3 linked regions of the Struthio camelus genome follow. The protein of the gene in region 3 interacts with the protein of the main gene of each other region in a pairwise test. Links are inferred from orthologs where the notes say so. Each region holds a gene or a part of one and is shown on either strand. Other genes may lie near its edges.

What was found. The genes of interacting proteins can lie anywhere in the genome.
Region 1: the proteins of DISC1 (region 3) and TRAF3IP1 interact in binary tests that used the Homo sapiens proteins (3 or more experiments, as listed by UniProt). The link is inferred for Struthio camelus from reciprocal best matches to the Homo sapiens genes DISC1 and TRAF3IP1.
Region 2: the proteins of DISC1 (region 3) and RTRAF interact in a two-hybrid assay, tested with the Homo sapiens proteins (2 studies listed by BioGRID and IntAct). The link is inferred for Struthio camelus from reciprocal best matches to the Homo sapiens genes DISC1 and RTRAF.

What each region holds. Positions count from the first base shown.
Region 1 is NC_090947.1:2,128,277-2,136,019, reverse strand, and holds the start of TRAF3IP1 (TRAF3-interacting protein 1), read right to left. Parts: upstream 3,013-7,743; 5' UTR 2,846-3,012; coding exon 2,723-2,845; exon of another isoform or gene 2,554-2,722; intron 1,839-2,553; coding exon 1,770-1,838; intron 1-1,769.
Region 2 is NC_090946.1:80,587,617-80,594,848, forward strand, and holds the start of RTRAF (RNA transcription, translation and transport factor protein), read right to left. Parts: upstream 3,013-7,232; 5' UTR 2,911-3,012; coding exon 2,724-2,910; intron 1,011-2,723; coding exon 886-1,010; intron 1-885. UniProt on the Homo sapiens protein: RNA-binding protein involved in modulation of mRNA transcription by Polymerase II. Component of the tRNA-splicing ligase complex and is required for tRNA ligation.
Region 3 is NC_090944.1:90,988,787-90,995,717, forward strand, and holds the start of DISC1 (disrupted in schizophrenia 1 protein), read right to left. Parts: upstream 3,005-6,931; 5' UTR 3,003-3,004; coding exon of another isoform or gene 2,918-3,002; intron 2,224-2,917; exon of another isoform or gene 2,204-2,223; intron 1,694-2,203; 5' UTR 1,559-1,693; coding exon 1,444-1,558; intron 1-1,443. UniProt on the Homo sapiens protein: Involved in the regulation of multiple aspects of embryonic and adult neurogenesis. Required for neural progenitor proliferation in the ventrical/subventrical zone during embryonic brain development and in the adult dentate gyrus of the hippocampus.

The DNA.
Region 1 (7,743 bases), on a different chromosome or scaffold from region 3:
TAGCTGCAGACTATGCTTCTAGTGATCTGCAACTGCACCACACAACCAGCTTCCAAAGAACAACTGCCAATTTTCTCCTCCCACGGCAAGAACTCTGGACTACAGCATCAGGACTGGGTACAGACCTCTCCTTTTTCTGAGAGCATCCTGCCCATTCCAAGTCTATGTACCCATCGCCGAGATCCTCACACCAGATGAGTACCATCCCTTGGTGTTACCTAAAGCAGATCACCTTTGCATGGAAATATATACAGCTATTCACAACATGGACTCTAACTCTCCGCTGTTGTCTCTAACTCTCTGCAGGTAGCTCTGGTCTCCACAAAAAGATTCCTCCCCCTTTTCCTGCCATAAAAAGATCACTCTCCTGATTTTCTAAAACTCCAACAGAGATTATGCTAACAAAGCATCTTGTGAGCACAGAGTCTTCCCCCTGACCTGTGTTTCGAAAAGGGGAACACAAACTATAGCTGTTTTCCCAGCATTGCAGCATTTTGATCTCCTCTACCTGAACTCATGAAAACTATGATAGCATGGACCGCGGAAGAAATTCTCAGAGAAGTGCTCAAGAGGTTCATGCAACTTCACAGATGTGACAGAATGCAAATACAGAAGCAAAGATCTACTTTAGAGTTGCTAGGAAATCTGTTTTTTTCAGTTCACAAAACAAAAAAATGCACAGGGCTCTCCAAACAAGAGTACTTTGCTGCTCTTCATCACAGAACTACTAACAAGCTTCAGCAGGGAAAGTACCAAATACATACACATGTATAAGTCTCTGGTATAACTAATTTAGATGTTAGCAATTCAAATAACAGTATGAACATCCACAGAAATAAATGTACACATCAGACTAGTAATTATCTGCACGAATTGCACAAACCATCTACGCCACTGGTTGTATACAGATCTCTATACCAGATAAGCCAGGCTCATAGACCTTGTATTTGTAGTTGCTACACTAAACAATTTGCAGTGGACATAGCTTTCTAACTAGGAACTACATTATTTGCCATGAATTAGAAACTCAAATGACAATCTAGCTTTGAATCAAGCCTGTAGTTGGAGAAGTCAGCATCCCTGGCGGAGCAGAGAGGCAGACAGCAGAGGAAGAGCAAACACAGACAAGAATCACTCTTGTAAGGAACAAAAATATTTTTCATTAATAACATTAACCTCCTCTTTCATTAATTAGGTATTGGTAGATAGCAATAAAATTATTATAGATTGTATACACCACATGAGCACTTCAGAAAGTCCTGCAATATTAAGCAAGAATATTTATTGTGTATGCATATATATATGTGCATGTATATAAATATATATATATTTTAAGTAATAAATCTGAAAACACACATTCTGTAGAGAGACCACCAGTCTCTTAGAAGAGCTGTGCATGGATTTTTAGCATCTGTGATTTTATTATCAGTGGCTATTTACCTCAACGCAATCTTATTACATGATTATTATTATCTGTAATACAATAATACTTTGAAAATCTAGATCTCGTCATAGATTAGATCTCACTGTTTCAAGATCTGTATAGAAACAGTTCTTTTACACAGACATTCCATGAATGGAATCTGTAGGTATTCTCCTTAGGCACTACATAAGATAACCAATATGCAATACCTCCTACTATTTCTTCACAATGTTAAATTAAAGACAATCACTTGAAATTGAACACAGAAATGATGAAAAATACCTTGTGGCAGGTTTGAAAGAATCTTAATATTAAAACCCAATAAATAAGGAAGTTTAATACCCACCTTAACGTTATCTGATTTCAATTCAAAATCCGTGTAAAGTCCTTTCATAAAACCTGTTACTCTGATTACCTTCAAAACAGAGGAAAAGTAACAGGTTAAGAAAACTTCTTGATTTTTTTTTTTTTAAGAAAACATTTATGGACAGGAACGGTCTCTGTGAACTTCCTGACAAGAGCAAACGTATCAGTCTTACTTTCAGAGAGGATACGTCATTTAGAATTAGTTCTAGAGCAGGTTCAGAGGTGTGCTGTATCGCTGAATATGCTCTCGAACATGTTTCAGTGAAACTTACTCCTTCCTTACTGTCCCTTCCCACTTAAACCCATACTTAACCTTGATGTTTGGGAACCTTGAAGGCTGAGACACATGCTTTTCAAATGGCAATGTTAACTTAGCACCAGGGTACAGGATTTCAACGCAGCTCTCGGTTATTCCCTTATTGATTTCTTTACATGCAACTACATACAAAAGCAGAAGCTCAGTAAGTACAAAAATTAAGATTCATTCTAAGCGGGAGGTGGAAAATCAAGCTGCTTCAACGCACACTTCATTAGCATTTACAACCTTCCAACAGCAGATTTCACAAAAGACCAGCTCCACACTGGACCGGAGGAAGAAGTCAGACCCCTTGCCTGGTCTTAACCCCCCGAAAGCCACGCTAAGAAGCCGGTTTACGTCTTCCCCACCGCGAGCTGAGCTTCCGCAGCCGCCACCCCCTGGGGCCACCCAGCCCCGTGCGCCCCCGGGGGCTTGCGGGCAGAGCTCCGGCCTCCTCAGGCCTCACCTCCTCCAAAGGCCAGGGGCTCTCCCGCCCCACGGCGCGCACAGCGGCCCCGCTGCCCCCCGCAGGCCCCTCCGCCCCCGTCAAGGAAGCGGGCCAGGCCGGCCGGCCGGCCCTGTTGCCTAGCAACCAGCGGAGCGGAGCCGGGCCGGCGGCCAGGCTCCGGGCCCACCTCGGTGATCACGTCGTGCAGGTAGCGGAAGGGCGGCTTGCTCAGCAGCCGCTCCGTAAGGGGCGGCTTGCGGATCACTTGGCCCAGCGACTCCTGCGTCCGCCGCACCACCGCCTCGTTCATAGCGGCGGCGGGAGCGCGCCGCCGCCGCCGCCGCCGCCGACTTCGAGCCTTCCCAAGCTGCCCCGCGGCGCACGGAGCCTCACTGCACAAGCGCAGCTCCCACGACGCTGTTGCTAGGCGCAGCGGCGCGGCCCTAGCAACGGGCCCCCGCGGCCATGTTAGGCCCCGCCCTCGCCTCGCCCGTGCTAGGCCTGGGCAAGGTAGTGGCTGCCTCAGGGCGCCCCGCCTTGCCCCCAGCCCAGCAACCCCCCCCCCCCCCACATACGCCCTCCTACCTTGAGGTCACTGCCTCCTCCAGTGGGGCCTAAGGCCCTGCTAGCTCTGAGGGACCCAGCTGCCAAGGGAGTGTCTTCAGGGGGGCTAAAGCCCTGGGCTGGGCTGCCTCTTGCTACTGCCGGGAGTGGGAGCGGGGCGCTTTTTGGTTGTCAAGTACCTGCAGGAGAGGAGGGTGTTGCTTAAATTTGGGATCTGTTTGCGTGTTAACCTCTGCACCCCACCCAGTGATGCCCACTGTGCGCCAGGGATGAACGGGAGGATGGATGCCCTTGCCCCGTGGTCCTGCCCGGAAGCGCCCACGGGCGCCTACCCTGTGTGTTGCAGAAAGCGTTTTCCTTTGCCCCGCAGGCCAAAACTGTGTTTTCTGTTGCAACGCTACTTATACGATGGGATAAGATAACGCCTTATCTTGCTGTCCTGGTAATAAGTCAAATCTAGAAAACCATGACATTTCCACCATGGATATGCAGGTCAGGCCTAGGGCATGAGCGCAGCAGGACCAAAGCTTTGAGGAGGTGCTGGACTGGTTTTGCCTGACTGCTGTTCAGCAGCCCTGTGCCTCCAGGAACTGCCCCAAAGACAAGCCGGCAGCACGCACACGCTAACTCCAGCTCTTCCTGGCAGCTGTGGAGGTACCGCAGGTGCTGTGGGGCACACTTGTGTGTGAAGACCTGTCTCCCAAGTGCCCAAGTCACTTTGCCTGCACAGTCCCTCAGGGTAATATATGTGCTACCAGCATGCGAATATGTATTTCTGTCTAGTCCGACTCTTGACTAAATAGTCCTAAAGCCTTGCATGGGGAGTAGCCAGAGCCAGCTAGTTCAGAGTGGCCTGATGGTCACAGGTCCATGTGACTTCACAGGTAGCATGGAAAGAATTTTGTCATGTATCTGTCAAAGCTTAGTCCCCTCTCCAAATGCTGTTCACAGAGTACTTTACAAAATAGAAGTAAGATGTATCTGTCAAGATACAGCATAATTTTAAACGTATCTAAGTCTTACTCTAGGGCACTCAAATTGAAAGTGGATGCAAGACGTAGCTCTTTTGACTGCAGAAACCTTTGGATTTTGTTTTAAAGCCAATGAAGTTATTTAGTAACAAAGATCCAAGAGCAAACAATTGGCTTCAGCTTCCTAAGGTACTGAGCTAGTCAAAGTTGAGTTCCTTACTCAAGCATTACCTACAACACGGGAACAAAAGATAGCAAGCCAGAATGTTTACTGAGGACCAAAGTTTGGACCTGAGGAGAGAGTGATTCCAGCTGCTTCAGAACTGCCGGATAGTTGTAAGTACAAGCCACCCGAAAGAAAAGGGAAAAAGTTTTGCTGCCCAGGCTGGCCAAAATTCAGCTCTATATTCAGACACTATTTACCAAATATAAGCACAGTGAAGCAAGTATAAGGTGTGGCAGCTTATTACATGAATAAAATTTAAGATCTGCGGGTGTCCAGCAATGTCAGAACAGCTGGAGCATCTGGGAAAGAGTCCCTAGAATGAACCCTAAAAGCATTTTGTCTGATACAGCTAGTCAAAACCCAATCCCTCATTTGAATAATTATCAGATAAATAGTGAAGCATTAAGTGTTTATAAAGTTAAATTATATCTTATGGTATTTTTTAAATTGTTCTTGACATAAAGAAGTAGAAAGAGTGAGATTGAGAAGAAGGAACGACATTCCAAATTCTCTGATCCTATATCACACTCCCCCTAAAGTCAGGACAAGCCAATTGAAGGGAAATAACAACACAGGACCACCAGCACCATCATTGTCTCCTACAGGGACATTCCTACCAGATAGAGTACTACACACTCTGTGCAACCTGCTTTGTGGTTCCCACCTTACAACCTTTATCAAAAAGCAAAAACTTTGTTTCCAAGTGCTTGTTCATGTTGCTTCCTATCTTCCTGATCATGTTTGGGGCCCTAGGAAGGAAAGTTCTGCTTTTCTGCTCAGCCCGTTGTGACCATTAATTTTTGAAATCTAAACTTCAATAGGGCTACATGCAGTCTGTACTGCTGTGCACTGTGACTGCCTGCCCATTTAACAGCCCAAATTTGCAGCTCCTCTGCCTTGCTAAATAGCACTTTGCAGTTGTCACACTCCTCCTAAAAGGAATTGTTACAAGTTCTCCCATGCCAGAACCAAGTCTTCGGATAAGACAGAGTAGAGCCTGAGTGAGAATGAATCAGACTCAGATTTAGGAACAAAAAGGAAGACTTTACAAAACAGATTTATCTGGTATTAGTTCAAGCATGGAAAGAGGTTATTTTTCTGCAGGGGAAGACAAGTGGACAGCTTGCATGCTGACAGAGTAATTACACCTGGGCCCCTGAGAGCAGGTAGTTCAGCAGGAGGAAGTTGTAGGGAAGCAATTTGTCTCTTCTCTCAGTCTGACACAATCATAAATTGATGCGGTTCCCAGACAGATTATGACTACAGGATCTGGTGAGCCTGGGAAGAAGACGACGTGTTGACAGCTTCTACATCCAAGGGCATCAGAAGGAGTCTCAAAGGAAGCAAGAAGACTGGGAAGAAGCTGCTCTGGGGAAGAAGGTTTGTTTATTTTGGAATCATGTGGTTTATCTGGACTTCTGCCACTAGCTCTCTATGGAGTGTTTGTAAAGCCTGAGAAGGAGTCTCTGGGGCTTTGTTAAATTTGACCTTTAGCATGCTTGTTTCACTGAAGAGGTAGTACCCTGAGGAAGCACGGCTCAATGTAGCTGAAGAATCAAAAGCTGGCAACTTACAAAAACTCCATGAATCCCTGTGGATCTAAAGGGAGGCACTGGAACTGAAAGAATTATCCTAAAACCACAAAACAGATAGCCTGAGGTTTAGTCTGGAGACTAGTGCATGAGGCTTAGTTTGGAGACCTAGTACTTTTGAGGACCTTGGACTAGAATTGCTAGTAGAGGTTGGGCATGTTGAGACCTTCTCACATGGGGTGAAAATACAGAGAGAATATCTAAGACTTGGTAAACACGGCAAAAAAGCAACTACGGTTAGTGAACTGTGTGAGCAGCAGAAGTGCTTACACATCTTTAACATTCCATTGAGAATCTCACACAATCCTCCTGAAGATGCCAGTAGGAAGTGCTGTTGACCACATAGCGTCAATAGGAGATGAAGCAGCTTACAGATTGACTCATGCCAAGATTCACAGATCTCGCACACGTTGCAAAAGTCGTCCCAGCATCAAGAGGGTCACAGAGAAACTTGCTGTTTCAAACAGACCACCACTACTGCAAGCAGCAAAAGACATAATGCATATTGCCTTTTCCTCCAAGTTTTACCTCCTTCCACAGCAGGAGACCCGACCTTTCCAGCCACTAATTTGACTTGATACCACAGAATTCCTTTGCTGAAGTAGGCTGCAAAGCAACAAGGTGGCACTACAATGCGTATTGCTAGCCAAATATTTAAGGCCTAACTGCTCAGCAGCTGGAATGGAAAGCTTCCTAGCTCTATTTTTCTTTATATACCACAAACAGTAGGGTATTATCTCCATTCCCAAATGACCTTATGATCTCAGTAGCATACATGTGCATATGTATATGTATATGTATATGTATATGTATATGTATTTGTATTTGTATTTGTATTTGTATTTGTATTTATACATGCAGTTCCCAACCTAGGTCAGCCAAACTACCAAATGCTCCTGAAAATTATAGATGCAGCCTGACAATGGAAAGCACCCACTTCCTGTCTCAGACACAGACATTTCTAGTATGGACCAGACCAGAGGACAGTGGTATCAGGGCATGAGTAACATGGAGGGACATGCAGACTACATGAACAGCTTTGAACAGCTCCTGCAACATTTTTAGTGATGGTAAACAGCTGAGCAGGGGATCCTGTCCAAATCCATGGGTAGTCTGTTGAACAAAAAAAGAGGAATTTTCTTGGAGCATAAAAAATGTTCTTCCTACGTAATTCTGGTTTTGTATTACTTTTGGGATCCTACTTTTTGGCTGTAACCTTGCAAAGAGCTGGAAGAGGCATAACAGATTGACAGGCTGCAATAGCTTCTTGAGACATAGGAAGGTGTTGTTTCTGTTTCTTAACAATTAAACTTTGCTTTAGCTGGAGAGTTAAACAGATACAGACTCTCTGGCTATATGCCCTGAGCCAAAGCTGCTAGAATAAGTGAAGCACCTGGTTGATTCACCTGCCCCATAAAATACTCTTTTTCTGAAACAAGAATGAAACGTGAGAGAATTCACCCAACTTTTATTGCCAACTGCACGATAAATTCTGAGGTTTTTCCATGCTTCACTGGGTTTCTAAATTTTAAGGTTTTTTGAAAGATAAAAAACCCAAGCAGTCTGTAGTTGTGCAGAATTCTAAAACAAGTGGGGATTTCTACAAAGATCATCACCGTATGAGATTTGGGAAGTTTACGTTGAAATCCATTCCTGAAGCAGAAATAAATAATCATACAGTCCCCCTTATCCTAACATCACAAACAGCAACCAGATCAAGTCCACAGAATGAGCCTGAGACAAAGAAATGATTGCATTTGCTTGGGAAACAGGCGTCCTTTGAACGTGCTCTAATTCCCTCGCCTCTGTTAAACGGTTGTGCTTTTTGTTTGCTTTTTTAAGTTACTACCACCCC
Region 2 (7,232 bases), on a different chromosome or scaffold from region 3:
GCACGGGAGGAAGACAAGGTGAGAAGAACAGTCCGGCCAGGTCAAGAAAGATGACACGGAGCTGCAGTACTACAACACTCGTACTGCTGATACCACAACAGCATCAGCAGCCAGTAGTTCTGATATCACATGTATTTAAAACTCCTAACATTACCCTGACATCAACTTTGGATCTTTTCTTTAGGCTCCCTCCTGCAAAGGTGCCAAATCCAATCCTTCTGGACAGCAAACCAGGCAAAAAGTTCCAGTGAAATAAAGACAATTTACATGCAACTAGCATTACGGAGCAGCATTTTCACCTCCTTGCAAGGCTGTTTTTTTAAAAAGAGGACGTGGGAACCTAGAGGGAAAGCTAGAACAGCTCCATGGTGACTCAAAATGCTCATGAGCACACAGGAGATCACTCACATAACTATGGATTTGTGCCAGGCTTCGTGCAAGCAGTGGAAAAATCATCCATCTGAAATCTACTGCAGCTTTTCTGGGCAGCTGCTGTTCTTTCTTTTATATGCTTGCAAAGTCTAAGACTGCATTAGCCTGATCCATTTTACTTTTGGTACACAAAAACACTAATGCAGAAAAAGCTGTTATTTGTAGTCAATTCTCTTCCTCTATCAAAAGCAGAATCAATTCAGGTAAGAAACAGACTAAGAAACCAGCTACTGCAAAACCATGTTGAATGAAAATTATGTACAAGAAGTTCTACCATCTTAATATCTGCTATAGTTCGGCTTCAATTATACATTTACGTTACGGGAAGTGTAAAAGTTCAGGGAAAGGACAAATATTCACAGTAATTCACATTCTACAACTACAGAAGCTATTTATCATTATTTACACAAGACAGCTTCACAGCTTAAATTTGTGCCTGAAACAACAAAATACCTTTTCAAAAGATTTGGGCCAATCATCACTATGTATGTTCCTTAGGTTCCCTCGGTCTTCAATCTTGTAGTGCCTGATTTTCTGGTCTTCAAGCCAGACAATAAAGTTTCTGAATTCTGTTTCATCTATAGAGAGAAACAAAACACACAAGAATCAACAAATATTTCAAGGGCAAAACCCAGCCCTTGAATTCTGATGCATCTCATTCAGTGTTTTACCACAATGAAAGATGCATCTACCACTGAAACTGTATTTCAGGATAACCTCTGACCAAAACTCAGCACTATGAGTGTTTTTTTATTTTCAAGTCACCTAATTGTCTATGGTTGACCAACTAAACTAAAAGATATCAACCAACAGATTGTTGTTAGGTAAAGAAAGAAAAGTAAAACAATGATATGGAGAAATTCAGTTACTAACCCTGTTGCCTAGACAAACATATCACATGTTGCAATAACACCCAGTCTTTTCTAAAGAACAATACACACACATCCCGTGACTCTGCAAAGGTATTTTTTCATTGTTGTTGACTCAACATTTTACCATTTGGAGTCAGAATTCCACAATACAAAGACCGTGGTCCAAACAATAATGTTAGTACAGGACAAAGTAATTATTTTGCACCTGCTCTTCAGTGACAGAATTTATTTCTAGACACAGGAAATCACAGCCCTAGAGTACTACTGCCCCCTCAAAATAAGTGGTAACACTTCGGCATTGGGTGAGTTTTAATATCCTGAGGCAGTTTCTCCTGCAACTCAGCCTGGGTTAACAATACCATGCTTCCATCAGGAAGAAGAACGTTATTCCTATTCCTCAGCAGCGTCTTCTGAGAGACATAAGTGCCCTATTTCTGTTGAATGCACTTTAAGAAACAGACACAGAGTCACAACATGTGCGAAGAAAAGCTTTCACTAAGACACTTAAAGATTAGCAGAATTAAGCTTTTTTTTTTTAAGAAGCTAATTACAAAGAAGTTTAGATACACAAGAAAAGATGATGGCAGTAGACAACCTCTTGAAGGAGAAGCCAGTCTACCTGAATCATTAAAAGGCAGTCTAGGAAAAAGATTGCTTAAAGCATACAATTGATCACACTGGCTAAATACATATTTCATACTGCTCTTTTGAACAACAACAGAAAATTAAGGTTGCAAGAAAAAAAAAAATCAAAGTATTAACACACATCAACGTATTAAGAGCTAACAAGGTTACCACGCTACTGTTAGTGCACAGAACAAACCACATTCCTGGGACCAGGCAGGTTCATAGAGCAACTAAGGGTGCGTCCTGCAGGACCGGTGACACCTGCTTCCTGCGTTACGTAAAGGCAAGACGTAACGAGGGCAGGCCAAGGACTGCCAGGAGCTTACCTCAGCTTTGCCCCAGGCTACGGGATTCTACCTTTGCTTTTGCTCCGTTTCTACACGATAGTGAAAAACCTGCTAGAACCAAGCTACCCACGGGCGACCGCTACAACACCCGGTGGCCCTGAATTTCCCAAGAGAAAGTGAATTTTCCTTGAACGAGAAGCACTGTCCGCCGTGACCAAAGCGAGCTGCGGCTGAACTCCGACCTCGGGGAGCTGCCTCACACAGGCTGCAAGGCCCGCACCGCACCTCACCAGTTCGCAGCCGCTTTCACCCTGTTTTTTTTCCCTTCTTTTCCGGCCCCCGGGAGCAGCCCCGCCGCGCAGCAGCCCCACTCCAAGGGGCGAAACGTCGAGGCAACAAGAGCGGGGAAACAAAAACACCTCTGGGCCCGGGGGCCTAGTGCGGGAGGGAAACGGTTGCTAGCGGGGCCGCGCAAAGGCCCGGTGAAGCCCGCCCAGGCCCTCACCCCTGCAGTTGAAGCCGGCCGGGTTGTGGTAGTCGAGAGCCGACAGCTTGCGGCGGAACATGGCGCCGGCACCGAAGCCGGCAGCAACGGCGCCTCCGCTCAGGCCCGGGCCCAGCCGCTCTTCCGCCCCCTCAGGCCGAAGCGCACAGGAAGGTGCCGCCCCTTCCTTCGCGTTCTGTCCTCCCATTGGCCCTCGCTCGCCGAGCGGCAGGCGCCGCCGCCAATCAGAGCGTGGAAGGGGGTTGCCGGGAACGAGGGGTATCCGTGCAGCTTTATTGACAGCGCCGGCCGGCCGGATGGGGACAGGCGGGGGCGGGGCTTGAGCCAGGGGCGGGGCTTGAGCCAGCGGGCGGGGCTTGAGCCAGCGGGCGGGTGGGGAAATGGCGGGCGTGTAGGCCGCAGTGGGCCGTCGTGGGGAGCACTGGGGGGAAGTGGGACATACTGGGGGGGGACTGGGGCTGCCCCACACACCAGGCCGGAGGGCATTTCCCAGGGTGGGGTTTTTCCCCCGGTTACCACTTTTTTGGGGTGCAAGTGGCTGCCGTCTTCCGTCAGGGGGTTATTGCCCCAATATACGTTGTAGTCGTCGTAGGGTCGCTCTGGTTTTTGCGATACCTGCGGTTTACGGCGGGGACAAGTTTCTGCGGTAGATGTTTAGGTGGCCAAACCTCCGGGCTAGGAGGTTAGGGTCGGGGGCGACGAACGCGCGTGGCCCCCCGCCGCGCGCCAGCTGCCGGCCAGCACCTGGTGGAGCCCCATGTTGGCCCGAAGCCCTCCAGCCCTTCTCTCCATCCTCACCAGGCCTGGGGTGTCGGAGCCGAGGAGCCCGCCCGGCGCGGCACGGCTCGTCCTCCCCAGCCGTGCCGTTTCGTGGCACTCTCCCACCTCTCCGGCCCCGCTGCCAGGAGCGGCACAGGGCTCCCGGTCCTTCCTCCTCCTCTCCTTCCTCTGCCGCCCCTCAGGACAGAGCCCTTCCCAACCCTTAGCGTGGGGCTTGGGCTTTGCAGACCTTCCTCATCCCTGATTCAGGGAGGAAGGCTTCCCTCCTTCTCGTTCGCCTTGCAGACAGCCCGCGAGGACCGTCACCCGCCCCATCCCTGCTCCCACCTCGCTGGCAAATCCCCCCGGGGCCGGCAACCGGCCCCGCGCCGCCCCGCCGGCATCGCACCCGGCCGAAACCAGGGCGCTTTTGCCGGGGTTTGGCTCGCGCCTCCTCCGCGCCAGCTCGGGAACCGAAGCCAGGGGAGTGGAGGATAAAACCTCCGCTCGAGCCCCGGGGAATCGACAGGGAGGGAGGCGGAAAGCAGCTGAGCGGTGCCGGTTTCTGGCCCTCGCTCACCCGCCCACAGCCAACGCCTGGCTCGAAGGTGGAAGGTTTGGTAGCCAAAATCCCATCCTTACACCTTGTTCTGCACCCCGCAGGGTCTTCTGCTGAGCGGGGCGCCGCGGACGAGCAGCGAGGTCTTGCACGGGCACCAGCCGTCCCGGCTGCGCCCCGCTTCCCGCGGCGCCCTTTCCAAAGGACGAGAGACAGGCCGGGCTGAAACGAATCCAAAATTTTATTATTTCCAACGAGTTACATTGACCACGTGGGATGGGGGAACGCGCGCTACATCACGACTCCGACTTGCCCCGCGCTGGGGTTTTTTTTTTGTTTTATTTCGGTTTTTTAAGTCCATCCCCCCACCCACCCACCCACACACACGCCAACATGGACATTCGCGCGGCCCCTCTGCCCGAAACCTCCCACCGCGGGTACCGCAGGGCGGCACACTCCCCCCTGCCATGAATTACGTTTGCAGGGAAAAAAAACAAAAACAAAGAGGAAAAAGTCCCATTTCAGTACTCCAGTACTCTTTTTCTTTAAAAGCCCGGGGGTAGAGATTAACGGCATTTGAGACCACGCTGAAAATACAGCATCACTTCGGGGAGGTGATTCACGCTTGTCCAGGGGGGACGCGGTGTGGGCAGGCGCTCGCTCTACTTCGCTAACCAAGGCATATCTGCGCTAATATAAATCCCGGGGCGAAATCTCTGGCAGCGCACCTATGTAAACAACAGCACGGAAATAAAAACCCCGACCAGAAACGTAAAACACCTTCAATGAGCAGTTTAGGCTAATTCACATATCCCCCTCTATGCTTCTCATGCAGCTTTTTTTTCCCTGTTTTTATTTTTCTTTTCGTAAGAATTCAAGTTGTAAAACACGCAAGTCGTTTAAAAAATAAAATAAAATAAAATAAATCATTACAAAGCACTTCATGACCGCGCTTGAGAGCGGCGCGGGGGCTCCCCGGCCCTGCGTTAGGCCGGCGGCGCTTCGCCGGCCGTTGCAGCAAATCGGCGTGAAAAAGGCAAAGGCAAACCGCTCACGGCACGTTTGCGCCTGCGTCGCCGACCCGGCCGCCCGGCTCGCCGAGCCGCGGGAGAAGGACGGCCAGGCGGGCCGGGGCCGGCTCGGCCCGTCTAGCCTGCTCCCCTCCTATAAACCTTCCCAGGCGCCCAAAGGGTTAAGAACAAGGTGGGGGCTTCTCTCCAGAAGACTAGAAAAAGAGTATGAAAAGGTAGAAAACCCAAAACGCGCTCGTCACGGGCTAGAAAGAGCCACCGAGAGGTACCCGGAGACCGTTGCCCTCGTCAACGCGCCTATTATTTTTTAAGCTGATACCTGATGGAGGACGAGAGTTTAACAGGGTTTCGGCCAACCCTGGAGTAAAGGGTCTCCAAGCGCCCCGGGAGTTTCCACGAGGAGGAAAAACGAGAGCTCCGTCACCACCAAGCGAGAGAGGTCGGCGCGGCCCGACGCGGGGCTGAGCTCCGCGGCCGCCCCGAGCCAGCGCGCCTTGGCCGGCGGCCGAGGAAACCGAGGCCGGGAACGACCTGCTGCCCGTCGCCTCCCGGGAAGCCTGCAGCCGGCGCAGCAGAGCCACCTCGGAGCTGCCCGGCCGGAGGTGGTGGCCCGCGTCCCACCGAAAGGCCGGGGAGGGACGCGGCGCCGCCACCCCGCACCGAGCGAGCGGCTCCCCGGCGTCGGCGGGGGAAGCGGAGCCGGAGGGCTCCCGGCCCCGACGCCGGCGGCGGGGTGACGCCGTGGCCAGGAGAAGCGGACGGCAGCAGAGGAGAGGCACGGAGGTGTCGGAGAAAGCCCACCAAGAAGCGGTCGACTCGACTTGCTCGGGTTTCGAGCTACCTCCAGGCGCCGGGGCGCGGGCTGCCGGCCCCCAGAGCTCACCCTCCCCTCGCGCAGCACGTGTTTCAGGCCCGGCGAAGGCATCGGCTTTCGGGATCGCCTCGGTTTACCCTCTCTACAGCTTCTCCCACCAGCGCGCGGCCTCAAAACAACAGAGCAGAAAAGGCGGAGCGGCTGCACGCAGCTCACTCCCATGCACTAAACGTCGTCACAGAAGTACGAAGCACCCACCACGACACAACGGTTCACTTTTACTTGCAGAGTCGAAGCTACCACGTACAGGACGTCAGAAAGTGGGGTTCGCTCGAACCGGGCGCCGAGCCGCCGCCGGGGCTGGACGGCGGCCGCACGGCTCCGTTGGCTCCCGCGCGGCAGCCGCTCCAGCCGATCTCTGCGCTACCCTCACGCCAAAAATTAAAAAGCACAAGACCAAACGTTAAGGAACATTCATAGTAAATCTAGCCTGTTGCTATATATCCGACAAGTTAAATAAAAAGAAAAAAAATCGTATTTGGAAAAAACCCGACAACATCATTCCAGTAAGGTTATACACATCCTTAGCAATTTACTTTGCTCAGCACGACTCTAGTGCTTTGGACATGGAACAATCAAACAAGTTTTGTGAGCAGAAAAGTGACACAGATTTATTCTTTACATATTTTTGTTTTTCTTTCTAGGCAACTCTACAGACTTCAGATCTTTTGCCTCGCAAGGTAGATCACCTTATTCCCCCAAAGGCGGCCAGGCTCTTTAAACATGCACATCTCCGTAGCTTCCAGGCCGCGTTTTTTACTGATTTTTTTTTTGTTTGGTTTTGTTTAAATTCTGTGGACTACCAGGTCGTCCCCGTTCCTAAAAACTCTACATCAGTGTTCAGGGTGGCCTGAGCGCCGGTCAGGCTCCTCGCGGGGTTACAGGATCACGCAGAAGAACTTCTTCTCTCTAAAGGGGTTTTCGGAGGCCGGGACGGGGGTCAGGAGAGGGTCCTCCTTGGCGTGGGCTTCGCAGTACGCCATCAAGTCTGCCGCGGCTTTGGACACCTGGAAGAAGGAGCGGGGCGTCAGGCACAGGCGGGATCGTCCTTCCCCCTGCGCGCGCGGCAGAGCGGCTACGCGCCCGCGCGCCCGAGCACAGTCTCTTTTTCTATCTTTTTTCCCCATCGCCGGCCGCGGCGCCGCTGGCCATCCCGCCTTACCTTTATTCTGTCGATGTTGGCCTCCATCTTCAGCTGCTCCACCAGCTTGCGGGCTTGGGCGATGCTCGCGGTGTTGTTGCTCGCCATCGGCGGGCCAGGCGCGCGCTCCGGGCGGGCTGCGGAC
Region 3 (6,931 bases):
TCTACAAGAGGTAACAAAATCAGTTTTGCCGGAGTTGTTATCAGGAGTATTATGTCCAAAACTAGAAGAGGCTGCAGATTACCTACCACTCAATTGGAAAGGATGTTTGCTCAAGGAAACCAAATGCTAAAACGAAAAAATCATAACTCCTGATGAGTACTCAGGAGGTGTCACACACTCCAGCAAATCTCATTTGAAAGGTCAGGTGGTTCAGTAGCTGTAGGAGGCCCAAGTTATAGCGAGCAGAAAAAAACTAACCGAGTGTGCCTAATTTGTGAACAAAGCTAGAATTAACCTTTAGGGTTTTTCGCTTTTGTAAGTACCAAACATTGTTGGTCGTGCTTTCTGTCTTTCTGTTCTTTACAATTAACTTAAACTGGTGCTAATAAATCCTCTTTTCTTATATGACCCTACTACAATTCCACAAGTAGTAGCTTAGGCCCAAACTTTTGACTTGATTTTACTGAAGAGAACAAAGGCTGATTTATCTAAATTTAAAGAGGGAGGAAGTCAGTGGCAATATAATACTTGCATATTTTTATAGCACCACTTTTTAAAGGTTTGTGCTGCAGCACTGTAAATCATTAGCCGAGTAAAATGAGAATACATTATTTTCACTGCCCAAAGAACTATACAGAAAACTGATAAATCTACAGTGTAAGTTCTGGAAAGCAAGAAAAAACACAGAGTTGGACTCGGCCTTAATCTCAAACATACAAAACACCATTTACAATCATTTGGCCTTCTGTTTACATTCCCTTACCCCACCATCGCAATATTTTGCGTAACCACAAACCTCTAAACTCAGCTTTTCTCTTTTAAGCCATATATTTATTTTAAACATCCCTTCTTTTCCATTTTGTAAGTGTCAAAAAGCGTTATTGATAGGAAAAAATCTACTGTGACTCCAACCAGAAAGCCACTATCAGTGCCTTTCTAGAAAAAAACATAACAGCTTGAACTTCAGCAATGAGATGGAGGAATACTGATATACTATAATTAAAGGCATTTAGTATTTAAACAACAAGAAAAGTTTATTGAAGTAGAACTTCTCCAGTTTGCATTAATTACTGTAAGGCCAATTGCAAATTAGCAAGTATTTGGGCAAATATAAAAGGACAAAAACCGAGACAGTGCATCGCAGCGTACTTTGTTCATTTCTTTGAAAGCTGTAATTTACTTTTAGTTACCGGTAGAACTAGCTGGTTATATGTTCTGCAGGACATTTTGTAAAAGCCTTTATTATAAAAGCACTTCACTGCGGAGCTCTTAAATCACTGCACAGAAGCGCAGTAAAAAGTTATTCAACGACTCGTACACAGACATTAGTGTGGATTACCAAAACATGAATGAGCTGTTTTCTATTGAAACGTTGGCAAGGACAGCAAGAAGAGACTGCATAAAGTTTCGCTAGATTAATGGAAGTTAAGGAGAGAACCGTACCTCCAAAGAAGCAAAAAGGTAGCTGATACATGTGGTTACCGATTATGCCCTGCTCCGTGAAGTCTCCTGACGGAGGTGACATACTTTTTCCAAAATTTCCCCACTGCTGCAGCATTTCACCAGCCCCAGTGTCAGCAAGGCAGAAAGCCCCAGCTCAGGCACCTGGCTCCACAGCGGCTGCTGCTCTGAGTAACGAATGATAAGGGTCGTTCCTCTACACTGGAGGTCACAGTCTCTTCCCGCTCAGGTACTAATAAAAGAATATGTACATATATTTGTCTTCTCTGTTAAGACGGTACTTTCTTTTTTCTTCCTTTAAAGCACATTTAGACATATTATTCTGATAAACTAGTGACTTATAAGAGTACAGTTACTTCGCCCTTTGCAGTCGGTTTAAAATATATACATATATATATATATATATACACACACACACACACACACATCTCTGTACCTACATAACTGCTTCCACACAGATGAAGGTAGGGTACTGAGTAAAGAACAAAACCAGTAAGAACTAACCACAAGGACACAATTTCCTAGATTACGTTTACTGCGCTAACCCTCTTTGTGAACTAAATGCTAACATCACCGGGCCCTCAGAGGAAAAAAAAACAAGAAAGAAAGAAAAGAAAGAAAGAAAACTGATACATCTACAGTGTAAGTTCTGGAAAGCAAGAACCTTTCAAACTGTGATGTAAGAGACCCATATTTTGTCCAGCAGCCCTGAGTTTTTCCGCACTCAGCTTTCTGTACGTACTTTAACAGGATTCCCAGCTCCTGGTGCCAGTTCTCCCGGCCCACAATAGCGTGGGTCGGTACCTGACCGAAGACCCCGTCGGGGGCCGGGGCGGCGGTGGTGGCCGCCCCCGCCGCGGGTACCCGACCTCAGCGCGGAGCGGCCGCGCGCGGCTGCCGCCGTCCCGCCCCCCCCCCGCCGTGGTGCACCGTTAACGGCCCGCCGCTGACCGTTAACGCTCTGCCCCCGCCCAGCCGCCGCGCGGGGCCCTGGCGCTCGCGGGCTTCAAGAGCAGGGTCTCCCCGCCACCCCCCGCCGGCGCGTCGCTGTTTCCGGGCTGGGCTCTCCCTCCTCGCAGCGCGGCCGCCGCCTAACGGGTCCCTCGGCAGGCCCGCCCGGCCGCCCGCCCGCCGCCGGTCACGGAGGGCGAGGCAGCCACAGCCGAAGAGGCTGGGAAGACCCGCGCCCCCGCCGGGCGCGGCAGGGCGGGTGTGCAAAGGGGAAGGAGGAGAACGGGCGCTGCCCAGAAACTGAACAGCGGCTGGGGAGCGGGGAGCCGGCGGCACGGGGCTCTGGCAGGAAGGCGGGCGAGGCGCCCCGCTCCCGCCCCTCCTCACGGCCGAGGCGCACGCCGCTCCCCGGGGCGCCGCTGCTACCTGCCGCGGGCAGGCACACGCCCGCCCCACCACCCTGCCCGGGCCGCCCCGCAGGCCGCCGAGCGGGCTTTCCTCTCACCTGGGCTCGTCACCTCCCTCCCGCCGCCGCTGCGGCGCCGCCTGTCGGTGCCGCCAGCCCGGGGCAGCGGCTGGGGCCGCCACATGCCGGCAGCCCAGGCCGCGGAGGGGCGGCGCGGCTCCGCCAGCCCGGCGGGCAGGCGCCTAGCGGGGCGGAAAGTCGCGGCGGGCCGAGGCGGCCGCGGCCACTCCCCCGGCGGGGAGACACGGCCGGCAGCCCGCCCCACCGCCGGCGGCAGCCCTCGGCGGCCCCCGCCGCCCCTCCTCCGGCCCGGCCGCCTCGGGGGCTGGGCCGCAGCGGAGGGAGAGGGCGGCGGGCAGGCCTCGGGGGGAGCGGGCGCGGGCTGCCGCCTGTGGGAAGAGGACAAGGCCCTTCTCCAGCTGGTTTGGAGGCTGTGCCCTGCGGGTTGTAACAGGGCCGAGGCGGCGGGCACGGCGCGTGAGCGGATGAGCTCTGGGAGGAAAGGTGCTATAACGGCTTTTCTCTGCATATACCTACGTACAGAGCGGTAGGGAGACCTAGAAGGCAAGGATCCTTCCCAAATCAGGGCAGGTGCCTGCCCACGTAGTGGTCCAAGGTTATCCTGCCTCGATTCCTCTTGGCCTGCAAAATGTTGTCGTAAATTAGGGGAGAACATGGGGAGAGTATAGGCCAACTCCTCATCTGCATCAGCCTGAAGAAAGGGACCGGAGCACAGAAGGATCTGCTCCTGCTATGTGGAAGGAGGCACGCGGCCTCCTCCCTGCCTTTCCTGGAGGACTGCCAACCCTTGCACTGCCCCATCTTTAGGGGTATAGCTACATAAGGTAATTTAAGCACCCAAAGCACTATTAGGAAATGGTTTCTTTTCAAATGTAGCCATACTGTACATTGCTTTGGTCTTACAGTCGCCATGTGACTTTTCAGGAACCCTACCCTGGACCTGCATTCTGTGCCAGATGCTTACTGAGTACAGCAATGTATGCAGATAATTGCACGATAAGATATTCATTGGCTTTCTGTAACTTAGGCTTGGAAATGCTCTCTACACCATATCTGCTTTCATTACCTTCATAAGGTAATGATCTTTTTTGACATCAGACGTAGAGTTATTTCATTTTGTTACAAGTTGCTGTGATATGTATGTAAAACAAATCATTGCAACCAGTTTGGGTTGAGTTTCAGAATCCAACGAGTCTCAGCTGCTAACGTTGTGGGTTTGAATGTCAAAAATGTGAAGTTAATTCAGTTGCATTCTGGTACATGTTTCCTACAGGTGTGACCAGTCTCAGGAATTTGATGATAGATCAAATTCGCCACGGGGGAAGAGAGTCCTTTTTATACTAAAATCACCGTAACTTTCCTGACGCTGTCTTGCTCGGCTTTCATATCATTGCAAGAACGTAGATTTTTGCTAAAACTCCCTCCCTTGTTTTTTGTGGTAGGTAGTTTTCAGTCCTCCATCATCTACTATCTGTCTTTACCTGCCTAATTAACATATGCATCAACTTTCACTGTGACTAGTACTTCTATACTGATATAGTCGGTTTTATTTCTTTTGATACCCTTAATTATTTAACTATGAGCTTTATATAAGTTTTTGATTGTCCACTGGCTCCAGTTATGTATAAACTTTGCTGAAGTATTATATTCTTCAGTCATGTATCGTCATATCCACAGTATTAGCCATGTACACGGAATGAGCATTTTTCGGGACCGTAATCAAATACATTCAATACTCTCTACCTTTTCAGTAGGTTTGTTATGCCTTCCATCCTAGTCTTTCAAGAGTATTTTTTGACTTCTCAGATACAGCAATTGTTATTATGAATTTAGAATACCATTCTGATTACTGTTAAGTTTTCATTCATTCAGAAAAGTTATTACAAAAAAAAAAAAAAAAGAAGCATATGGTGTGCACCTTCACCTGAAGACTGACAGCTTACTTATATTCTTGGGTTTCAGTTCATTTGTTAAGAAACACAGGACGTGCTAAGTGAGTTTTGACCTCATATTCTAATCTATGCCCTTCCTGACTTTTGAGAGAAGATAGTGAGCAGCTGTGCCTCACATGCCAAAAATAGCTAATACATGATTCAGGAAGGAATTCCTCCTCCTCCTTTCTTCAGACTTGCTGCAATGAATCTGATCATGATGATGTCCGCTTACATCAGTACTAGCTCCCATCACTCGGAGATAAACTTGTTAAAAAGGAACAGCTGTACTGGTTCAGACAAAGGGCCCATCTAGCACTCTCTTGCCTCTAGCAGTGATCCCATGCAGTTGCCTAGAGAGAAGTAGGAACAAAGCAAGCGTATACATACAATACTTCCCTTTTATACCCCCCCAGCCTCTGACCGATGTCAAATCAGGGGATTTCCTGAGCTCAGTTTAGTTTGTCTGATCAGCAACTTGCAATGAATCTCACCCTTTCCCAAATGCTTGTCCCTTTCAACCCACTTCAGCTTTTGGCAAACACAGCATCCTTTGGTGAGGAGTTCCCCAGGTCTACACCGACTGCATGAGGAACCAGCTCCTTTTGTTTGTTTTGAGCCTGACTTAGTTTTCTCTGTTAGCTGCCAGGTTTTTATGCTGAAAGAAATGGGGATCGTTACCCATCCTTCCAAGCCTCTTGTGATTTTTGTATCTGTGGTTATCACATCATGTGATCCCACTTCCAAACTGCACGATGCTAACCTACTCAGATATGCCTTTTACAGAACGCGCTCAATACTGTTGTTCATCTCTGTTGCTCGTCTCCAAACCTTTTCTGTTTTGACTTTTTGGGGATGAGAGTGCAGGTCACCCCAAGCAAGGGTGCAGATTAGCCATGGATTTTTACAGAGGCACCATCTTCATGTTTCCTGTTGTATTCTCTGTTCCTTTTTCAGTACTCCTTAACATTTGATTTTTTTTTTCTGACTGCTGCCATGCACTTAGCTGATATTTTCATGGAATTGATCCTAGTTTCATTCTTGGTGATGGTGGTCATCTCAGAGCTCTTCACCTTATTGAGAAGCTAGGACTGTACTTCCTAGTATGTACCAGTTCAGTTTTTACACAGCGAATTTCATCTGTCGTTTGATTGTCCACTCATTCAGCCTCATAAGTTCCTTCTGCAATTCTTTGCAGTCAGCCCTTGTTCTTACTACCTTAAATAAGTATCATCAGCAAACTTTCGCTTCACTGCTCACCACCATTCCCGTGTTGTTTTTATATGTTGAACAACAGAGGCTCTGGGGAAGCCAGTCAGACCAAAGCTGCCAAAAGGTAACATCAGACTTATCAAACTGAAGCTAATATTCCATAAGCTAACATTCAGAAGTAACATGGAATGATCTGTACTTGGAAAGAACCCCTGTTAATGCGAAGAAAGTTCTTTGCAGCTGCAAAGAACAGCTGTGAATCTGTCCAGTTAAATCTCTAAAGGTTAAAGGTTACCCTAGACTTCACCACTTCTGCTTCAAGTGACTTTACCTTGCGTTGCATGTACTAATATCAATGTGTTTAATTAAACCAGAAAGTACTAAAGGACTTTAAGCATACCTAGAGAAAAAGTACAGGAAACAGATAGACTTCTGAAGCAAATGCTAGTAGGTGAAAGTAGTCTTCTGGTTTTTAATACTGTGTTTGAACTGAGCCCTCCACAGAAAGTCTGATACAGGTGACTGTGTGTGGTGTCTTGAGCTTACAAAGGCATCTACCCGCCAACATTTAGCCCTTCTGCACTTCTAGAAGGTAGTCAGGTTTTTAAAGTGGGATGGGAGGGGCACAGGAACTTAAGCCAAAGAGCATACCCAGCAGCGGATGCTGAATGGTTATCTTCTATCCTACATTAGACAGGAGGGAGCTGGAGCGTTTTGCTGTTCCTTAATTTCAAGGTTTCATTGCACTGGCATAAACTGGCACAGCCGCCCAAAGAAATTGTCCTGCCTGTCCCCCTGCTACTACTTCTCCATTTGTTCTTTCCTGTCCTCCCCCATGCTACTGACCGCTTTTGTGCTGCTAGCAGGAGTGTTTCTCTGGCTCTGCAGT